Linked DNA regions of Coturnix japonica. The protein of the gene in region 1 purifies or fractionates together with the protein of each later gene. This does not show direct contact. Links are inferred from orthologs where the notes say so. Each region holds a gene or a part of one and is shown in the gene's direction. Other genes may lie near its edges. The genes, in order: SNCA, CLU and PARK7.

Evidence for each region.
Region 2: the proteins of SNCA (region 1) and CLU purify together in Homo sapiens (affinity purification with western blotting; 3 studies listed by BioGRID and IntAct, with this or other methods). This does not show direct contact. The link is inferred for Coturnix japonica from reciprocal best matches to the Homo sapiens genes SNCA and CLU.
Region 3: the proteins of SNCA (region 1) and PARK7 purify together in Homo sapiens (affinity purification with western blotting; 3 studies listed by BioGRID and IntAct, with this or other methods). This does not show direct contact. The link is inferred for Coturnix japonica from reciprocal best matches to the Homo sapiens genes SNCA and PARK7.

The regions. Positions count from the first base shown.
Region 1 is NC_029519.1:31,289,006-31,296,030, reverse strand, and holds the start of SNCA (alpha-synuclein), read left to right. Parts: upstream 1-3,164; 5' UTR 3,165-3,332; intron 3,333-3,595; exon of another isoform or gene 3,596-3,616; intron 3,617-4,775; 5' UTR 4,776-4,800; coding exon 4,801-4,921; intron 4,922-7,025. UniProt on the Homo sapiens protein: Neuronal protein that plays several roles in synaptic activity such as regulation of synaptic vesicle trafficking and subsequent neurotransmitter release.
Region 2 is NC_029518.1:96,030,674-96,037,927, forward strand, and holds the start of CLU (clusterin), read left to right. Parts: upstream 1-3,240; 5' UTR 3,241-3,255; coding exon 3,256-3,611; intron 3,612-4,370; coding exon 4,371-4,480; intron 4,481-4,917; coding exon of another isoform or gene 4,918-4,948; exon of another isoform or gene 4,949-4,950; intron 4,951-5,308; coding exon 5,309-5,457; intron 5,458-5,535; coding exon 5,536-5,706; intron 5,707-5,779; coding exon 5,780-6,197; intron 6,198-7,169; coding exon 7,170-7,254. Other genes in the region: uncharacterized protein LOC107312362, read right to left, coding at 1-1,931, 4,918-4,948.
Region 3 is NC_029536.1:194,766-201,222, reverse strand, and holds the end of PARK7 (protein/nucleic acid deglycase DJ-1), read left to right. Parts: intron 1-155; exon of another isoform or gene 156-174; 5' UTR 175-176; coding exon 177-266; intron 267-905; coding exon 906-1,007; intron 1,008-1,312; coding exon 1,313-1,372; intron 1,373-1,508; coding exon 1,509-1,578; intron 1,579-3,067; coding exon 3,068-3,154; intron 3,155-3,595; coding exon 3,596-3,756; 3' UTR 3,757-4,022; downstream 4,023-6,457. UniProt on the Homo sapiens protein: Multifunctional protein with controversial molecular function which plays an important role in cell protection against oxidative stress and cell death acting as oxidative stress sensor and redox-sensitive chaperone and protease.

The DNA.
Region 1 (7,025 bases):
TTTCAAGTGCTTTTGTACAAGTTTAATAGTTGAACAGAGATTCAAATGTACCTAGAAGTGTGGTTATGAGGACTCCAGCAGAAGATAGTCACAAGAAGTATATGTCGCAGGTACAAAAAAATTTACTGCTTGGTTATACACTAACAGTACATAATTACTAAAAATTGATAGAGATGTTGAAAATACATTAGCCTTTTATGAACAGTTAATGTATAAATACCTATCATAGGTTGTGATCAAATCAGTGTTATTTACTAGAGTGCCCTGATGAGGGCCATAAGCACTTAGTCTCTGCTTTTCCTAACCAACCCAGAGCAGCACCTCTCCTGGCAGCATGGAGAGAAGATACTGAATATGTGTGTGTGGTGGACAAAAGGATGCATTAAGTTGAATGCATCTTGATGCAGACAGTTCTGTACCACTGTAAAAGCAAGAATCTTCAAGGCGTGCAGCAGATCAGACTGTTTTATTTTTGTTTGTTTGTTTGTTTTCTCCCGAGAATCTTGAAATTATAGTGACTAATGCAGTATCTTGTGGTATGTTAGCAGTAGGTTGAACACCTGCAAACCTTGACAGCAAAGAGAAGAGAAGATTACAGCAGAAACTGGAAAGAAGCAATCCACCCTAATGTAAGTTCACTGAGAAAGGAAGAAAAAGCCACAGAGATGCTGAACTCTCACTTCTCAGGTCAGTTGATACCTAGGCAGGCAGTGATCACTGATGATTTTTGGTGTGAGTAGCTTACCTGTTTTACTTACTGTTCCTTTTCATATACTTATTCCTTTTTCCTTCTAAAATTCTCCAGGAATTAAGTATTTGTTTAGATTGGGAATAAGCTAGGACAACAATGTATTTAGATTTGAATCAAATCCTAGCCTGTATTGTCTGAAGCCAAACTCAATAGATTTTGTTTTTTGTCTGTTAGTATCTGCCATCTCAGTATCATCTGAATCTGAAGCTTCCTCGTATTTAATGCTTAGTACTTACATTCAATTTTTCTTGCAGTTTAAAGCAGCAAAACATAAATCAAGCTGTGCAGTCTTTACTTTTTTCTGTATATTGCTGCAGATTTGCATTTGTGCACTTGCCAAATTTTCAATAAAATAATTTCTGCGTAGAAAGTTTTGATGACCATTAGATAAGGTGTTTCTATTGTGTCAGATACAAGACTTGCAGCAATAAAGGGAACTTTTTTTGTAGGCAAAATGGAAAAAGGATCTTCTGTAAAGATGCAGTCACGTGCATAGATTGCTCACTTGCTCCTCAACTCTGGTGTATTAATACCTCTGTCAAAACCACAACCTATTTGAAAACTATTACTTTTCTTCTGTATGCTGTCTACTTCCCTTTAGAAATTGTAAAAAGAAGACAGGTTGGAATGAAGTATGCTACTGTCTGAGTTTTGCACTTGTTTAAACAGTTTGCTGGTGACTAACATTAGTATCTAATTAAAGCTGCTGCTTTCCTGATACATCTCTTGGGAAACACTGCCATCCAGGTAATTAATGTGCTGTGACTGCACTGGCTCAGATACCTAGATTTGAAGCAGGCTACTTCAGAGCATACTATGTTATCATTGACCTTGGATGCCTTCATTGCTGGCTTCTATCTGAAACAGGATTGGAGACTAGACGGGCATCAGAGCTGATCCTGCATGACAATTCCCACTTCACTAGTATTAGCACAGTCAGTTATATCAGATAGGGCTAATGTATTGCATCGTGCATGAGGAAGAGAATTTGTTCTCATTCATAGTCAGCTCATTGGTGCTATGTAGTGGGAAACATCCTAAAGAACAATCAGCATTGACTTTGCCAGGGATCCTTTGGACGGCCTCATCTGAAGTCTCTGATCACCTACTCATCTATTGTCTCTGAGTAGAAATGCACTGCTGCTGTGTTGGCTTCCGTACCACTTGAGCTGTTGCTTTTCAGAGTATGGATTTACTTAAGGTCCCAGGGGGACAGAGCTGCTTTCCACTCAAACACTGACTATCTAGCCAGACAAAGTCATTAATTTGAGATGTTATTGTTGCTCATGTAAAATGTGTTATTTCTGCAATTTCAACCTTGACTGCAAGTAAAGTGTAGCTCATGATGAATAGGATGTGCAATTGCTGGATCATTTGCTAAGGATTTTCTGGAGAGCAGAATTATGAAGGAATGGTTTGTGTTCTCAGTCAGCACCTTCTCACACAAAAAAATACATTTCACCAAATGTTTGCTTGGTTAAATGTAGTAGTGGAATGAATCCCAAGGAAGATTACCAAGCGGTAAAGAAACATTAAGAAACCTGAAAAAGAGAAAACTCTGCACTGTGTGCTCAGAATGGAAATAAAAGCAGGAACCTGTCTGCTGTCTGCCCAGTATGATGGATGGAAGGTGCTTTGTGCAGCTCACATCCCTGTGTCTCATCTGTACCAAGCTCTGCTTCTCCTTTGGAGCGCAATGACAGAACAAACTGTTTTTGCAAGGTTTTGCAGGATCTGTACAGCATGCTGACTGATGTACTGATGCTGAAGGTCCATCTGTTCTAATACCTTGTTTTCCACTGAATTTGGCTTTTCATGCCTACGCTCTGCAGCAATGCAGAGAAGTGACATTGCCTTCCCTTTCTGGGGAAAAGTGACTTGAGTGTAACAGACCAAGAGGGGAAATGCAGTGGCTCTGGTCTGTACAATGGAGACCAACAGGTGTGAGGCTGGGCTTCTCATCCTTGTTTAGACAAAGATTTTATTATATTATGCTGTGGGGTTAAGGATCTTGTTTTACCTACAAGAGTATTACCTGCCATCCTTAAAAATGAGCTGGGAGCGTGAATCCTGAGAGCGTTCACCTCAAGTCACTCCGGCCTGAAGGCTTACGAGAGGAAGATAAGTAACCAAGAGCTCGGGGGCGTTTTCTGAGCCGTGGGTGAAGCGAAACAGGTGTGCTGAATTCACTAGCAACAGCTTGCTCGCATTGCTTCTGAGTGCTGTGATTCAGCCGCCGGGGCGAACAGCGGACAGGTGGTGCCACGAGATGACCAGGACCTCAGCCTCCCCTCTTCTTTCCTATCCTTACCTCCCACCCCCACGTCACGACGCATACCCGACCCGCAGCACATTCCCACCCAGAAGGGGATGGAGGCTGGGAGCCGCCCCACCGCCCCCGGCCCCTCCTCCTACCGCCCCCGCCCCGCACCCTGCCTCTCCTTCACACTCGCTGCCTGCCTTGCTGCCGTCGGGAGAGTTGGCGATGTGCTGAGAAGGGGCAGCTCCCATCAGGTCTCTCTGCGCTTCGCCCTCCTCCTGCCCTGCCTCCCCCCGCCTTCCTGCAGCGGCGGACCCAGCGGTAGGTGGTGGGGAGTGCATGAGAGGCTCTGCTCGCCCTGGGGCTGGGCAGCCGCAGGGGTGGGTGTGCGGACAGGTGCATTTGTCGCTCAACGTGTTCTCCTTTGGGCACGAAGGAGGAAGGGAACGGGAGGGGAAACCAGCGGGCGCCGCGGCTGCCGTGTGAGGGAGCCGCTGGGTGCTTATGTGCTCACGTAGCCCTGCCCTTCTCCTCGGATAGTCCGTATAGATACAGACACATACATGTGGGAGAGCCCTGCGCGTTCTTTCTTCCTTCCTCCACAGGTGCCCATTCTTTTATTTAGACTGAGCCACGTAGCCATGTACTGCTTTCTTCCCTCGCTCTGCACCCAGGTGCTCCCACACCTGCTCTCGGTGCTGCCTACGGTGTCAGTGGGGCACGGATTCTGCCCTTCTGATTGCCACGGGTTAGTAGCAAGCTCCCCACTGTCTTCCTAGACATCCCTTCCTCCGGCGGAGGGAAAGAACTAGCAGGCAGTGCATCTTCTGGGAGGGGGAGGGGGAGAAAGGGAAGGGGCTGTCGGCGACGGGATTGTGAAAGGGGTGTCTTGCTGGCTTTAATTACTGTCTTTGTGGCCTAATTGTAGCGTAGGGCTGTATAACTGCCACAGAACCTACTTGCTAGCTGTAGTGTGGTGTTATTAGTGTAGCATGTTCTTGCCTTTGCTTTTTTTTTTTTTTCCTCCTTAGTCTTGATGCATGTGCAGGATCCCTTTTGAAAGCTCAAGTGCTGGCAGAGCAATATGGGCTGCATGCAAAATGCTGGGTTGCTGGAAAGCAGTTTTGTGTTTGCTCAAGTCCTTCTGGAACATTAGTGGTTCTTCAAACAACAATGAGCGAACGTTTCTCATTTAGAAGAAGCGTTTGTAAAGTTGTTAGTTTTTAAGTTTTTCCTTTGAATGAGAAGGTGGAGCATCAGCGAATGATGGGATTAGATCTTGTAGTTAATAGACAAGAAACTGTCCTTTGGAGGAGATGGTGGTAGGCAAGGAATGGATTTGTTCCTTTCAGTGAGTGCAACTTCAAATGAGAACTGCGTTATCAGTGACCTTTCTGTACGTTTCTGTGGGAACTCCTGGGCCTTTCAGGGACTACCTTAGCCATACTGCTTAACTTGAACTTGCTCTGTGGTAGCATGTGAGATGTAAAGGTGAGTTGTGTAATGGAGCTCCTTTGTTTTCTAGTTATTTAACTGTTTTTTGTCTATCTGAAATACTGAAAGCGATCCTAGATACAGAGAGGTATGTGTATATTGCTAATACGGATGTAGATGGAAGTTATATAATATGTGAGTATAAATAATGTATTTCAAAAGTATTTTGATGTGCAATCAGTTTTAATAAAATTTTCTGGCAAAAAAAAAAAAAAAAAGCTGAGAACCATTATTTAAAGTGTGTTTGGTATTGTTTTTTTTTTTTTCTAGTGTTGTGTGAAGAAATCCTTCAGCCATGGATGTCTTCATGAAGGGACTTAACAAGGCAAAGGAAGGGGTTGTAGCAGCAGCAGAAAAAACCAAGCAGGGAGTGGCAGAAGCAGCAGGAAAGACGAAAGAGGGAGTCCTCTATGTGGGTAGGTGGGCAGTGAGGTTGTGCTGCTGATTGGTGTACCCTGACAGCCCCGCTCATCTGAAAGAAAGAGCTGAATTCTCTCTCTTCTCTGAAATATGTAATCACTCATAGGAGAGGATTAACTGCAAAGTAAACATGATGAGATTTGAACTCTCCTGAGCATAGGGTCTTTGACGATTGTTGCTTGTTTGTTTGATTGCTGTTTGTTGTGTGTCATGTATTTTTTTTTGGTTCTTGTCACTGTGTGTGCTGGTCATATGGGGCTGCATTTGTAATGTTGTACAGGATAAACTTGCCTGTTGGAAGAGGCCTTACAATGCAAGTTACTGACTGGCCCTATTTAAGATGCTTGCTATATGGGAGGTAAATTCACAGAATCCTGTAGAATGCCTGAGTTTTAAGCAGGATTTTTAAAGAAAAAACTTGAGATGTTGGTTCTGGAACTGAATCTAAGACGTGCCAATGTCTTTTCCTGGAGTAGAAGGAAGATAACTGTACACCCCATAGAAAGGAGCTTGTTTTCTTTCTTCACTAAATAAAGGTCCTCAGCAGTAACATTTTGAATGGTGAGGTGTCAGCTCCTTGTTTTTCAAAGTTAACCTAATGTTCTATACTTACTATTGCATATCCTCAGCAGCTATTTTCCATGGCTACTCAAAGAAGAACCTTTACGGTCACTGAGACAGTGGAGAAAGTGGGAAGCAGATGTTAGTTGACTTACCCAGACTATGCGAGTACTTTGCATGGAACCCGGGGAAAGATTCTTTTCAAATCTCACATTGGACTGTTGACGACACAATCATCGTCTTCACTTAGAAACTACCAGGCCTTAAAGTACTGTCTCATAAATGCCATAGTGAAAAATGAACAGGAAAAAAGCTGCCAAGAACATATGAATAGGTCATTTAAACTGGAGGAATTCCATTTTATTTTTTTTAAGTTAATTTCAGTTGCATGGTAGTAGAATAGGAAGGAAAATACACTCTTTTCTGTAGATTCGTTCTTTTTTTATGATTTGGCAGCAAGTCAATTCTGTAATGGATGCTGCTTTTATCTGGGGAAGTGTGTACAAATATTAAAAAGAAGTTGAACAGAGTTTAAAACAAAAAACCAAAAAAACAGATGGAAGAACTGATGTTTCTGTACATCTTTCCAGGATTCCTTCTGCCCTTGCAGGTTGATGCCAGTCTGTAATGAATTATTTCTACTCCACGTAGTTTAGACTACTCATTTGGAATATATTTTTCTCCTCCTGAGCCGTAGCTAAGCTTGGTGCTTTTGCCGACAGAGATGGAAGTCATTTTAAAAAGCAGTTGTAAGATGAATCTATTTTAAAATGAGCATCTGCTCATTTTTCAGCATCAAAATAGCTGTTCTTTCACTGCACATCATACTTGATATTAAAATCAGTTTTCAGGGTATGGCTTACTTTTTAAATTTTTGTTGTTGTTGTTGTTATTGTTTATCTTGAGTGTGGTTTTAGGGTCATTGGTTTCTTTGTATTAGAAACCTGTTTTGTGTGCTGAAACAGTCCTTCTTGTCCCTGACCTCTTCTCCTGACTGTAATGACATCTGGAACTAGCTGTCCTCCAAAAGGCAACAGATTTCCTGTTTGTTGTCTTCAGAGATATTTTTGCTAAGGCATAGGGTGGGCTTGTTGTTTATTTCACAAATTAAATACCTTGGACAGCAAAGCCTTGAGCCATAGTGAGGATTTGTGCATGCAACTGCAGGGATGTGAAGCAAGAACCTTTCCTGCAGCAGATAAATGCTTTTCAGGAAGAACGAGCTATATGCAGTTTCAGTCATGCAGGCAGAAAGCACATTCATTAGAACAGCTCCTCAAGGTTTCTGACAGGTAATGTGTCTGGGTGCATGCTTGGGTTTAGCAAGCCAAGGTTTCCATAGCTGAGTTTTCAAAATGATCGACTAGGAAATGGACCCAAGCAATAAACTTGCTGGGTTATTGGTTCCTTGGGTTCTCCAGCTGCAACTGGAAAGGCCAGAATTAAAACAAGGAGGGTAAACATTAGAGCAGAAACCAATAGGCTCAGCGAATTGTAGTGGTGTTTGGGGACCTCTGTGCAGGCTAGGTTCTGGCAGAG
Region 2 (7,254 bases), on another chromosome or scaffold:
ACGCACCCACTGCAGGATGCTCTGCCACAACTGCTCATCACCCACCCTTCTATCCTCGCTGTCCCCATCCCACAGCCCTTGCACCACGCTCTGGGTGTTGGCATAGACATACAAGGGCTTGGAGCTCCGGTGCTCCTGCAGCAGCACCCTGATGGCCTCCAGCTCCACGTCCTCCAGCGAGCCACGCTGCATCAACCCCAGCAGCCAGCGCTCCTCCAGGTTGGTGGCAGCAAAGCCGAAGGCTGCCTCACAGGCCCAGGTCCCCGCTGTGAACCAAACATTGCTGTGGGGCACACTGGATGGCAGCTCTTGTAGGGGACATGCGCGGCGCACCAGCACACCTGAGAGCTGTGGAGATGCAGGGATGTTTTCCCCCCCATTGACCAGCAGCAGGTTCCATTGCTTCTTGCCGGGGGTCGGCCAGCAGAAGGTCTTGGTGTCACCCCAAAGAAGGTACTTCCAAGGGGAACCGGGCATTTGGATCACAATGGGAGCTGACCCTGTGAGGTCCTGGAACGCATGCATTGCTCTGAGCACCGCCACGCAGTGCTTCTCCTCGGGCGAATAGGACATCTGGTGCTTCTCCAGCACCTTGGACTTGAACCAAACGGGGACCATCTGCCCCTTCTCATTCTCCTGCAGCAGAGCAGCCCCCGTTGTCTTGCTGCTCGCCGTCGTCTTGATGATGAGCGGCTGCGACCGATCGACGAAGCGCAACACCGGCTCTGTCAGGATGGCCTGTTTCAGCCTCTGCAGCGCCTCCTGCTGCTTCTTGCCCCACTGCCACTTCTCATTCTTCAGCTGCTCCAGGGGCCACACCAGCTCCTCATAGTCCTCCACGTGGTCCTGATGAAAGCGCATCTTCCCTAGCAGCGAGCGGAGGCTTTTCAGGTTCGATGGGGTCGGGGTGTTTGCAATGTCCTTCCGTTTGCTCTCCTGTACCTCCCAGCCACGTGCCGACAGCTTCAGCCCCAGGTAGTCCACCTCAGGCTTCACCAGCTGTGCCTTCCGCAGCTTGAGTTTAAAACCAGTGGATCTGATCAGCTGCAGAACCTCCTTGGTGAGGGACTCGGTCTCCTCTTGGGTTCTCCCAGAGATGACAATATCATCTACATAAGAAGACACCCAGCCTTTGTACTCTGGAGACAGCTGGGCCAGCATGCGGGTCACGCGGCGGTGCAAGATGCTGCTGGTGAGATAGAAGTCTGGTGGCAGGCGGTTGAACAGATACTGCCTCCCTCGGAAGGTAAAGGCGAACCTGAGCTTGGAAGCAGCCGTCAGTGGGATGGCGAAGGAGCAGCAGGACAGATCGAGGTAGGAGAAATAGCGGCTGCGAGGGCTGAGCACCTTCGCCACCTCCTTCAGGTCCAGGGACTCTGTTGGCTGCCGGTGGTTGACGCTGTTGATACCCTTGAAGTCGAGCGTCAGCCGCAACGTCGCCCCGTTGTCCTTGATGAAGAGGCGCAGAGGGCTGTTGGAGGGCGACCTGCCTGGCTCCACGATGCCCTCCTTCAGCATCTGATCCAACAGCGGGGCCATCCTTCTTTCCAAGTCTGGTGGGATTTCATCTTCTTGGTACGGCACTGGATCCTCACCCACCTCCACCTCCTCCTTCACCTTCCCACAGTCCATGTCGTACTTTGCCCACACCTCTTTGAACTCCTCCACCCATGGATTATTGTGCTCACCCTGGAACTCCGTCATCCCATGGTACCTTTCCATCCGTGGCCTGATGCTCCTGTTCCGGAACTCCATTGAGCCCACAGATATGCGCTGGGGGCTCAGAAACTGATAGAAAGAGAAGAAATGCCTCCGGGTCTGCACCTCAAAGGAAGAGGATGAGGAAAAGGGAAGGTGAAGAAGGTGGTGCTTCTGCCCACAGAGCAGTAAGCTCACCCGACGTCCACTCCTACTGCAGCTGGTACTGAGGTCTGTGGGAGAAGAGCAGAGCTGCTATGAGAGCAGAACTGATAGCAAAACCCTCCCCCGCGTTAACCTTGAGCACTGAGCACAGCACACAGAAATAGGAACACAAAGTGCAGCTGCAGCACCCCCCCACACACACACAGCATCCCATGCATGGCCCTGCACCCCTACGAACTTCTGTGCACTTCTATATGACCCTATGGACAAGTATCCCATATGCAGCCCTGCACTCCCCATGCACCCCTATGCATGAGTGTCCCATTTATGGCCCTGCATCCCTATGAACTCCTGTGTACCCCTATATAACCCTATGGACAAGTATCCCATATGCAGCCCTGCACTCCAATGCACCCTATGCATGAGTGACACGTTCAGCCCCATGCACACCCCCATGGATGAGCAGCCCTGCAGCCATATGCAAACCCATGCACCTCAGTACAAGTGTCCCATACATGAACCTGCACCTCCATGCATCCCTATGCACGCGAATGCACAAGTTCCCTACTCATCCCCATGCACCTCTTGCAGCCCTATACATGGGTGTCCCATTCACCCCATGCATAACTGTCTCATTCATGACCCTACACACCCCATACACCTCATGAACCCCCATGCACCCCTATGCACAGTGTCCCACTCACAACCTTGCGCCCCCAAACACCGCTGTGCAATGCCCCATACACAGCCCCACACCCCCCTATGTACAGCATCCCACCCACAGCCCCACACCCCTAAACACCCCTATGCAGTGTCCCATATACACCCCCCATGCACAGCGCCCCACTCCACCCCACACCCCCACGCACCCCTATGCACAGCGTCCCACACACAACCCCACACCCATATGCAGTGTCCCACTCACAGCCCCATACCCCAATGCACCCCCACGTGTACAACATCCCATACACCCCTACAAACACAAACACCCCATATACACGTGCATCCCCACGCACCTCTATGCACAGAGTCCCGTACTCCACGCACCCCTATGCACAACCACCCCATACACCCCAAGAACCCCCCCCCGCATCCCTCCGACCATCCCACCCCATCCCCCACGTACAGCGACCCACACACAGCCCCTATACACCCCTATACACCCCCCAAGCCCCCCCCAGGTGCCCGCACCGTTCAGCCGCAGCCTCGCTCTCTCCGTACCTTCGTTTCGCTTTCGCGGAGCCTCTCTCCACCCTCCCCCCGCCATCCGCCGTGGCCGCTCCTCCCACTGCCCGTCTCCGCTCCGACCCCGTTGTTCCCCCCCCCCTACCCCACCTCCCACCCCGGGGCTGCTTTATCCCGTTGGTCCCCGCTCGCTTATCGCTGCGGGGGATGCGCTGGGCACTTTTGAGATTCTTTACAATGGGATTCTTTCCTTTGCTTCTCGTTTCGAGAGGTGGGGGTTTGGTGGCACGTCCCCTATGCTGGAGGCATGGAGTGGAAACAGGGACTACGTGCCTCAGTTTCCCCAATAAAGGGGGAGGGTTGGAGGGGAAGCGAAGCCGCGCCCATCCCCGCTGCGTCGGGGAGACGGCGGATATCGGGGGGAGGGGGGGGAACGACACAGGGGGGCCGGTTCCAGAAAGCTCCGGGCTGGGAGCTGGGCGGACCCGCAGCGGCCGGCCGGATAAAAGGGGGCGGGTGGGGGCGGGCAGTGGAGCTCCCGGGGTAGCCGGCACTGAGCGCAGGTAGGATCTTCCCTTCCCTTCCCTTCCCTTCCCTTCCCTTCCATAGGGACCCACTATGGAGGCAGAGCTATGTCCCCCTATAGTTGCCCTCTGTCTGTGCCAAGGGCTGTGATGCACCAAGCAGGAGTTTCCCACAATGCTGTGTGCAGGATGGGAGGGCATCACTTCTTTCTTTGGGGGAGGACATCGGTTGTTTTCTCTGGGGGGAGGAGGGCAGTTATTTTGGGGGATGATCAGCATTTTTTTGGGGGGGGGGGGGGTGTTAATAAGGGTTTTTTGGGGGGAGGTAGCAGTATCTTTGTGGGGCAGCAATGGGGCCATGCAGCAGCAATGCTGCTGCAGTGGGGGCACGGGGCCAGGACCCCCCTCCCCCCAAGGGAAGGCCTGAGCCCCAGGGACGGTGCTGGAGCCCCACTGTGCAGCTGATTGCACAACTCTTTCTTACTGGGGCATTTAGTAGCCACACACTGCAGCTGAGCTATTGCACAACGCTCTTTATTTTGTTGGGGGGCTGCCCCATAGCGGCTTTGCCTCCCCCCAGCCCTTCCCGATATCCTTCCCTCCTCTCCCTCCCCCCCCCCCGTGTGAACACAGGGAGAAGAAAAAGAGGAGAAGAAAGTCCTGCTCGGTGCTTTGGCTGCATTGGAGTTTGGCACAGCCCTACCCGATGCTGTGCCCACGGCGGTGGCCCGGTGCCCGCTGCTGACTCACGGCCCCGTGCCCGGATCCCAATCCCTCTCATTGCCTTCACCCACGCAGGTCCGAGCTGCTCTGGGACTGGACCATGGAGCTGCCGCTGCTCGCCCTGCTCGGCCTGGGGCTCGTCTGCCAGGAGGGGCAAGGCCTTGTGCCCCCCAATGAGCTGAAACGTAAGTGGGGGGGGGGGCTTTGGGTACGTGGGACTGGATGCTTGAAGGTGGCTACTGGGCAGGGGTGGGGGGAACCCATGGGTGATGCTGCCCAAATACTGTCTGCAGAGGGCAGTGGGATGCAGCCCCAGCTGGGTTAAGGTTTGGTTTCTAAGTCACTTTTCTCTGTGAACTTGACTATTGTGAGCAAATGTTTGCATGCACTGGGGGAAATTCAGTTTGTCTTGGGAGCAGTGAGATACTCATCCCTCCCTCCCATTCTTCCTCCTTCCCTCCCTTCCATCCTCCTATCCTTTCTTCCTCCCTCTCTCCCATCCTGCTTTTCTCCATCCTTCCCATCCACCCTCCCTTCTTTTCATCCTCCCTCCCTTCCATCCCTCCTTCCTCCCTCCCTTCTCCCCTCCCTCCCTTCCTTCCTATCCATCCATTCTTCCTACCTTCCTCTCTCTCTTCCTCACTCCTTTCCATCCCTCCCTCCTCCCTCCCTCCCATCCCTCCTCCCTCCCTCCCTCCCTTTCATCCTCCCTCTCTCCCTTCCATCCCTTCTTCTTCCCTCCCTCCCTTCCTTCCTCCCTCCCTTCCCTCCCATCCTTTCTTCCTCCCTCCCTCCCATCCATCCATCTCTCCTCCCTCCCTTCCATCCTCCTATCCATCCCTCCTTCCTCCCTTCCTCTCTCCATTCCTTCCTCCCTTCCATCCCTCCTCCCTCCCTCCCTCCCATCCTTCCTTCCTCCCTCCCTCCCATCCTTCCTTCCTCCCTCCCTCCCATCCTTCCTTCCTCCCTCCCTCCCTCCCTTCCATCCATCCCCCCATCCACCCTCCCCACAGAGCTCTCAGCAGCCGGCAGCAAATACATTGACGCTGAAGTGGAGAACGCCATCAATGGGGTGAAGCAAATGAAGACACTGATGGACAAGACCAGCAAGGAGCACCAGGCCATGCTGCACACACTGGAAGAGACCAAGAAGAAGAAGGAGGTGGGTGAGGTGGGGAGGGCTGGTGGAGCAGGGCTGCAGGGAGCTGATCTGTGAGGGGTTGTGTGCTGTGCCATGCAGGAAGCAGTGAAGCTGGCCTTGGAGAAGGAGAAGCAGCTGGCAGAGAAGCAGGAGGTTTGCAATGAGACGATGCTGTCGCTGTGGGAGGAGTGCAAGCCCTGCCTCAAACACACCTGCATGCGCGTCTACTCCAAGATGTGCCACAGCGGCTCGGGGCTGGTGGGCCGCCAGGTGAGCTGTGTTGGGGGTATCATAGCGGGCAGTGGGACTTTTGGGCTCTGAGCTGACCCCAATCCCACTGCAGCTGGAGGAGTTCCTCAACCGCTCCTCGCCCTTCTCCATCTGGGTGAACGGCGAGCGCATCGATGATCTGCTGGATCGGGAGCAGCGGCAGGAGCGGCGCTTTGAGGACCTGGAGGAGCGCTTTGGGCTGATGGAGGATGGAGTGGAGGACATCTTCCAGGACAGCACACAGCTCTATGGGCCCACCTTCCCCTTCTTCCGAACGCCTCCCTTTGGTGGTTTCCGTGAAGCTTTCGTCCCACCTGTGCAACGTGTCCACCTGGTGCCACGCAGGAGGCTGTCCCGAGAGCTGCACCCTTTCTTTCAGCACCCAATGCATGGCTTCCATCGCCTCTTCCAGCCGCTCTTTGAGATGACGCAGCACATGCTGGATGGGGGGCACGGCGCCTGGGAGCACCCGCTGGGGGGCTTTGCGACAGGTAGGAGCGCAGCACCACCATGGTTCCACCTCCTTGTCAGCGTGGAGGATGAGCTCAACCCTAATATGAGACAGCGGAGAATCCACGTGGAAACCTGGGAGTCTTAGGTTCTGACATTAGCAGAACTGGGATGGGTTTTGAGGTGGTTTTTGCCTATAGTTGCACTTCACGGGGGTTAGATGCCAAAGGGATGAGTTGGTGTTGGGTTTGGATGCGCTTATCGGGGGCTGTCCCCATGTTGCCACCATCCCTGTGTTGTCACCTCCGTCACTGTCTGCTGGGCCAGAGCCATGGCTCCACGCAGGGCAGCTGGGAACAGGGCTGATTGCAAAACAGAGGTTGGCACAGAGTGCTCTTGTCCGGAAAACATCTCGTTTGGGGCCAGGAAATGTTTTTAGGTGAAGTCAAACTTCCCTGGAAAAAGTCCTTGAATGAATCACAAAAGCCCTGCCGTGCAATCTGGGCTCGTTGGACCATGGCCTGAATAGGGGATGTCCCACATCTATGTCCCCCATCTATCCATTATGCCCATCCTCCCATGGTTGCCCAATCCATGGGTCCCCCATCCATCCTTTGGTCCCCCATCCACCCATGGTTCCCCAATCCATGGGTCCCCCATCCATCCTTTGGTCCCCCATCCACCCATGGTTCCCCAATTCATGGGTCCCCCATCCATCCATGGTTCCCCACCATTGGTCCCCTATCCATTGTTCCCATCCATCCATGGTCTCCCATCCATCCATTGGTTCTTTATCCATTGTTCCCATCCACCTACTGCCCCCAGTTATATTCCCCCATTCATCCACCCATCGGTCTCCTATCCATGGTCCCCCATCCAACCCACCATGGTCCCCATCCAACCCACCATGGTTCCCCATCCATCCATCAATCTGGGCAATGCTGTCCTTTCTGTGGCCACATTTTGGGCCACGTTTTGGTGTGGGGAGCTCCCTAATGTGTTGCTCTCTTCAGAGTCCCGTAACTTCAGCACTGATCGCATGGTGTGCCGTGAGATCCGGCGCAACTCAGCTGGCTGCCTGAGGATGAGGGATGAGTG
Region 3 (6,457 bases), on another chromosome or scaffold:
GTGTTAAGTAGGATTGAATGTCAGTTCAGCTGGTGGGATCCATTTTGAGATGGTTTAAGTGAAAGATAATGCAGAAGTGCAAGTTACTTTTAAACTTTCCTGTTTGGAAGACTTTACACGAGGGGATCTGCCTTCTAACATCACTCTGCTCACAGATTTCTCTGCCAGTTGCAGACATGGCCTCGAAAAGAGCATTGGTGATTCTGGCAAAAGGGGCAGAGGAAATGGAAACCGTCATCCCCACGGATGTCATGAGACGAGCTGGGGTGAGTATGTGGACGATGAAAAGTCTTTTATTTCTTTCCATGATTACTTGGTAAATCAAAATCTGTGCCTCGAATTCAAGTTCAGAGTGTGCTCTGATGCGAGATGTGGATGTTCTGAGCCTTCTTACTGCTTAGCCAATAGTTGTGTTAAGCACCAAATAAGGATGAATAACATTTGTCCTTAGGAAGTGTTTAAGATGTGAGCCTAAAGCAAACGAGCAGATGTTTCAGGTAAGTCGTACCCTACCAAACATGTCTGCTGCTGTGCAGAGCAGCACGGAGGTTCATTTGTTTTGTAGGGCTCTGAGCTGTGTTCTCTTCAAGCTTCTGATGTTACACAGCTCTCCTTCAGCTTTTAAAATTCTGATATTAACTTGAACTCTGCCTGGTGGGATTCCTCATGTTTGTTACGTTTGCATCAGTACTTGTACACAGTATTATTGTCTGATTAGGTATGAAAATAAAATGTTAATAAATACAATAAGAGAACACTGAGAGAAATGACTGAAATAAAAATTACCTTTCCCCAATGCTCTCGTGATTTTGTTAACGTCCTCCTTGTTGGGTGCTGTCAGAAGTACAAACCTTTCAAATGTCTCTAATTCATGAATTGTAATGAGAGATGTGTTCTTCTGTTAGATCAAGGTGACTGTTGCAGGCCTAACTGGGAAGGAACCGGTGCAGTGTAGTCGAGATGTCTTCATTTGTCCTGATGCCAGTTTAGAGGATGCCAGAAAAGAGGTTGGTCATCACCTTGAACTGATACAATGGTCAGTATGGCCTTTCCTGTGACTTTCAAAACTGAATTAAGGCCTTTAGAAATGTGTTGCATGTTATGTTCACTGTGCCATAGTGACTCACAGAGCTGCACATTGGCCCCTTTGGTCTTGTCCTATTTTACAGCAGGCCAAGATCAGATTTGGTGAAAGAAAAGGCTTCTCAGTGAAGGATCCCTTTGCTTCTCAATTCACTTAGCTGTGCTGTCCCTAGAACAATGTGACAGATAGGTCACCCTCTGTTCATCAAAGCTTTATCTGTCTGTTTAGGGACCTTACGATGTCGTTGTCCTGCCTGGAGGTAACCTTGGAGCTCAGAACTTGTCAGAGGTAAAGTCCTGGGATCAAGCTGTCAAGCTGTTTTTCTTTGTAAATCTTGTTCATGAATTTGCAGTAGAAAATGCCTCAACTGTGCTTCAACCCAAATAATCAACTCAAAGCAACGGCTTCTTTTTATCTTTTACAGTCTGCTGCTGTTAAAGACATTTTGAAGGATCAGGAAAGCAGGAAAGGCCTGATTGCTGCAATATGTGCAGGTGGGTTAGTAACAAGTTTTCCTTTGATAAATACTTGGGTGTTTGAAAGGACAGGCAGGCGGGTATCCTGCCTTAGAAATTTATATTCTTGTAACTTAGTTACAGAAATTTGCTCTACAAACCCATCAGCATTTGGATTTTCTAGTCATTTGGGTTAGTGTCTTAAAAAGTGACAACTAATTTGCTGGGTGTAGTGGAAATGCTGTAGTGGCCTGAAGCAATGATGGAGCACATGGTGGGAAGGCAGAGCCAACCCAGGGGAGCTCAGGTGCAGGCAATGTACTGGGTGATTGGATTGGGTGGAGTCAGGATCCAGCCCTCATTTAAGGGTTCCCAGTGGAGGTGGGGGTATCTCTCTGGAGTTCCCTGTGTACCTGAGGTCTTCTTGGTTTCTGTGAGTACAGTTGCCACCTCTGAGTAAATCCTCACTTGCTGCAGTCTGGGACTTTGTTACTCTGCTGTCATTGCTGACCTTTTTGTTGTGTTACAGCATTACATTTGGTTTTTAGTTTAGGGATTTTTGGTTTGTTTTTTTTTTAGTATCTGGTTATTTTCTCTGTGAGGACGCTGTGCTGGCTGAACATCGTTACTATAAATTTGTCTCATGACTCCTCTTCTGCCCTTTAGATTCAGCAGGGTGGCTGAAAATATAGTGTTACAGGCTCACCTTCAAAGGAGTGGTACTAAAATATGGAGTTACTCTACAGTGAGGGTTGTCTGCTTACATGTTCTGCACAGCTAGATATCTAGTTCAGTTCTTTATGTGGTTTGTATTTAAAGAAAAAACAAGATGAATAAATGCCGATATTCCCAGCTGAACAGAGAGAGTGGTCTATGTAGGGGAGAATGAGGAGAGTGATGATAACTGTGTAGGAGATGCTCTAACGGTGTGTGTTTGCAGCATGTGTTTGTGTTTTGTCTGGTGTGTGGCTGCTTTTTATTTTGTTTTCGTTCTTCAGTTGAGCAATACACATGAATTTGTGAGCAGTCCTAAGTGTGGCTCTGGTGGTCTTTTCCTTCTTTACCCGTATGTTGCAGAACAATTCATTTATTTTATGTGTAGTGCTTTTCAGAACTTTTCCAGCTGAACACGAGGGAAGTTATTTCCTTGTTGCTTCATTTTCTGAAATGAATCAGATACGCAGAAATGACACTTGAATCAGCCAAATCCTGCATTCAGTTTCTTCTGGAATTCCCATAAGGATTTTTTTCTTGGGTGATCTAAGACAACTTTACACAAGTTTCTTCCTCAATTCAGGCAAGGGAGGAAGTGATGGAAAGAGAAAGAGAATGTAAAAACTGGAAGGTTAGCTGTTAACCCATAGCTGTCCAAAATGCTGCTTGGTGCACAATTCCAGCACATAAAGGCCTTTTCAAATGAAATTTTATCAGATAATCCTTACCAAGGCTGTGAGATTTGAGCCCCTGGATGCGTGTTCTTATGTTTGTAGCAGATAAGTTTCTCACTGATGTGTGTGTGTCCTTACAGGCCCTACTGCCCTCCTGGCACATGGGATAGGATTTGGAAGCAAAGTCACAACACATCCTTTGGCCAAAGATAAAATGATGAATGGAGGTATGTAATTAATGTTATAGCTTTATTTCTAAACTCGGAAAGTATTTTGTCCTAACTCTTCATTTAAAGAAAAGTAAATAACGTTTGCATCTCATTCTGTATCTCAGAGTTTCCTTAGTGCTTTCATATGCATAATCAAAATTCAACAGCTTGCAGATAGGTGCACTTATATGCCATGTGAACAAGCTGGCAGAACTCCCTGTAGGGCCTTTTCCTCTCTGAGGACTGTAGGCAGCGATGAGTTGCTTGGTTCTGCAGGGACAGGGATACAGAGCCCAGAGTGAGCTTGGCTCATGTGAGTCATTGAGGTGTGTACTCAAGAATGCGATGCTGTTGGTGGAGCTTGCTGCCCCTCAGTTGCCGTAGCCTGTGAGCAGGCAGGTCTGTGCTCTGTGTCACTGGAATGGAGACTGACCCTCTTATTGTTGTGTCACCCCTAAGCTCACTACTCCTACTCCGAGAGCCGTGTGGAGAAAGATGGGAACATCCTCACCAGCCGTGGCCCTGGTACGAGCTTTGAGTTTGGGTTGGCCATTGTTGAAGTACTGATGGGGAAGGAGGTGGCTGAACAAGTGAAGGCACCCTTAATATTGAAGGACTGAAATGCTGTTGTGGGACATGGAGTAGAACAATTTCAGGTGGTGAGTCTTGTCCTTTGTAGAATAACTGAGATGCACAATGTAGTTGTGGATGAAATTAACAGCTGTGCTCACCTAAATTAGGACATCTCACCAGTGTTTATTCCTGGAAGAAAACTCTGTTAGCAAAGACCTTCACTATCATTAGCAACTAAATAATCTTAGATCCTGGCATTTCAAAATCGCGTGGACAAATGTTTGCTGATTAAATAAAAATGAAACAACCTTGATTGTTTGTTGCTTCTTTGTGCGTTTTTTCCCCAGTCCCGAGCAGGGGCTGCAGTGAGTAACTTGCTTATCACTAGTGTCTGGCTCACACTTCTCTGTGCAGTGTGATAATCCGACTCAGTGTGGCACAGACTGGTGTGCCCTTCTCTGGAACTGGGAATTTCCCTGGTCTTAAGGCATTAAGGCTGTTTGCTGTGTAGGTTTGGTTGTGCCTTTTGTTTTCTGGAAGGACGCTCAGTAGTGCTGGTTTTTCTCTTCAGCTTGTTGTGAGATTAAGAAACTACATCGATCATTTCTTTTTTGTTTTTAGGGGGTTCAGACCTGATGGTTGTAAGCGTAATGTTTTGTGCATTGATGGCTTCAAAGTGTTTTGTCCTGGTGGCTCTTTGTGTATCTGAATTCAGGGTGGGATTGTTTGGCATCTTTCTTTTTTCCTCTGATGTTTTTCCTCTGTGCAATATATTTGCACTCTTTTTCCTTTGCAGCTTTAAGGTGCTGACATTCTGTGGGTGACAGCCATAATGCTGAGAGATCTTCACAAAGAAGCTGCAGGTTTTCAGCAGGGAAGCATCTCTTCTTCTGAATCACTTTGTAAGAAAATGAATAGCAGTAATGATTACATGCCACTTAAAATATGGAATATCTAACACCTTTCTCAAAATTAACCACAACTAGGATCAAGGTGCATGCCAATATATAAATAATAGAGCAGCAGTCTATGAGCAATCACAGGTGTGGCTTCCATATATGATTCAGAAGAAGTAATGAGCTGTGTGGATGAAAATAGGCAGTTATTATGCAAAGCCTGAATTACAATGCAGGATGGGTGGTGGTAACACCTCGCTCAGTTTATACAAATGCTAATCACAAGCTCAGCAGCCAGAAATCTCTGCAATGGTATTTAGCAAATATTAATAAGTATAATTAAAATACGTGTGCTAGATTTAGTGCCAAAGAACTATGAGAAACAGAAAATTTACCATACAGTTTATATGAGTGTAAGCTATTGGGGGAAACAAGCTATGGAGCAAACAATATTGAGCTGGGCTAAAGGTGAGGGGGTGCGAGCGGGGGCTTTGTTCTGCAGGAATGTCCAGCACACAGCAAATCAGTGGAATGCCTGACTGCAAAGACCCCATGTACAGAATGCTGCATCCTGGTGCTGATCACTGGTGTCATTTCAGGGAGGAAACTTGAGCATGTGTCTTTTAGAAGTGTTTGTAGGGCTCTCAGTCTGTAGTTGATTTTGTTGAGTGGGAATTGCACCATGTCCAGTCATTGTCTTAATCCTGAATTTCAGATATCAGTCTTGGACACATTTAAAATGACCTCCTACAAAAGCTGTGCTGTACTCCCTGGCAGTAGCTGCTTAAGAGCAAGTTATCCTCGTGGAAAAAATTGGTTAATGGCATTTTTTTAAGTCACTGGGTCCTAACACAACCTCTTCTATTCAGGAAAAGGTATATTGAGGCAAACAGCTTATCCTTTAGTTACCAGCTAGATGCAGCTCCTGGCTGATTTTCTAGCCCAATTAACCCTTTCACAAAATATATATGGTGGATGTTTGCTTCCAGTGATTGTTGAGGGAGCTTTTTCTTGTGCCAGTTCTGAGCCTGGGGTAAGAGGTGTGTCCCCCCCACGTCCCTTGTTGCTGACCTTGCTGCCAGTCTCTTCTCACTAAGGTCTGTTTGATGATCATGGATTCACCGTGGGACTTTGATGAACGTGCTTCTGTAGCCACAGCAATGCTGCTGCAGGAAAAAGGCCTCCAGGTGGCGTGCAGCCCACTTTCAGCTCAGTGAGTTGTGGAAGCATTGTGTTTCTGTAAATACATTTCTTTCTTTCTTGTTTTTACACAAATACCTCGACTCTTCAGACTCACGTATTGAGTCGTAGCTGCTTTGAAAGGTGATTATTTCTGTGAAATCTCTCTGGGAAGGATCTTCCTCTTAAGAGGCGTCTGTCAGGCCCTGCCCAGGTGAGCCCAAGCTCTAAATATTCAAACGCGATCAGAACGTTGCAAAACCACGTTGTGTCCTGACAGGTCTTATCTTGTGTGAGGGGATGAACACAGAAATGCCTTCTGGCCAGAACTTGCAAAGTTACCCCCGCAGCTCTGGAGCCCAACGGCTCACTTGGAAAACAGAATGTTCCTTTTGGATGGTGCAAATTTTGTTCCCCAAAGTACAGGAATTTGCGTTGTCTGGGAATACACAAGCAAGGTGACCCTCAGAGAAAACCACTGAGTGCTGGAACAAACCTAATTACTTTGGATTTTTAAGGGGAATGTGACCAAATTACTTAAGTCATGTAAGACCATTGCCTGTAAATCTACTCATACTGAAGGGGACACTGGAGCTCTGTGATCTGGCTAAAGGACTTGTTCTAGTTCTACTCACTGTTTTCAGCTCATGTTCAGTCTGGTTTACCTCAGCTG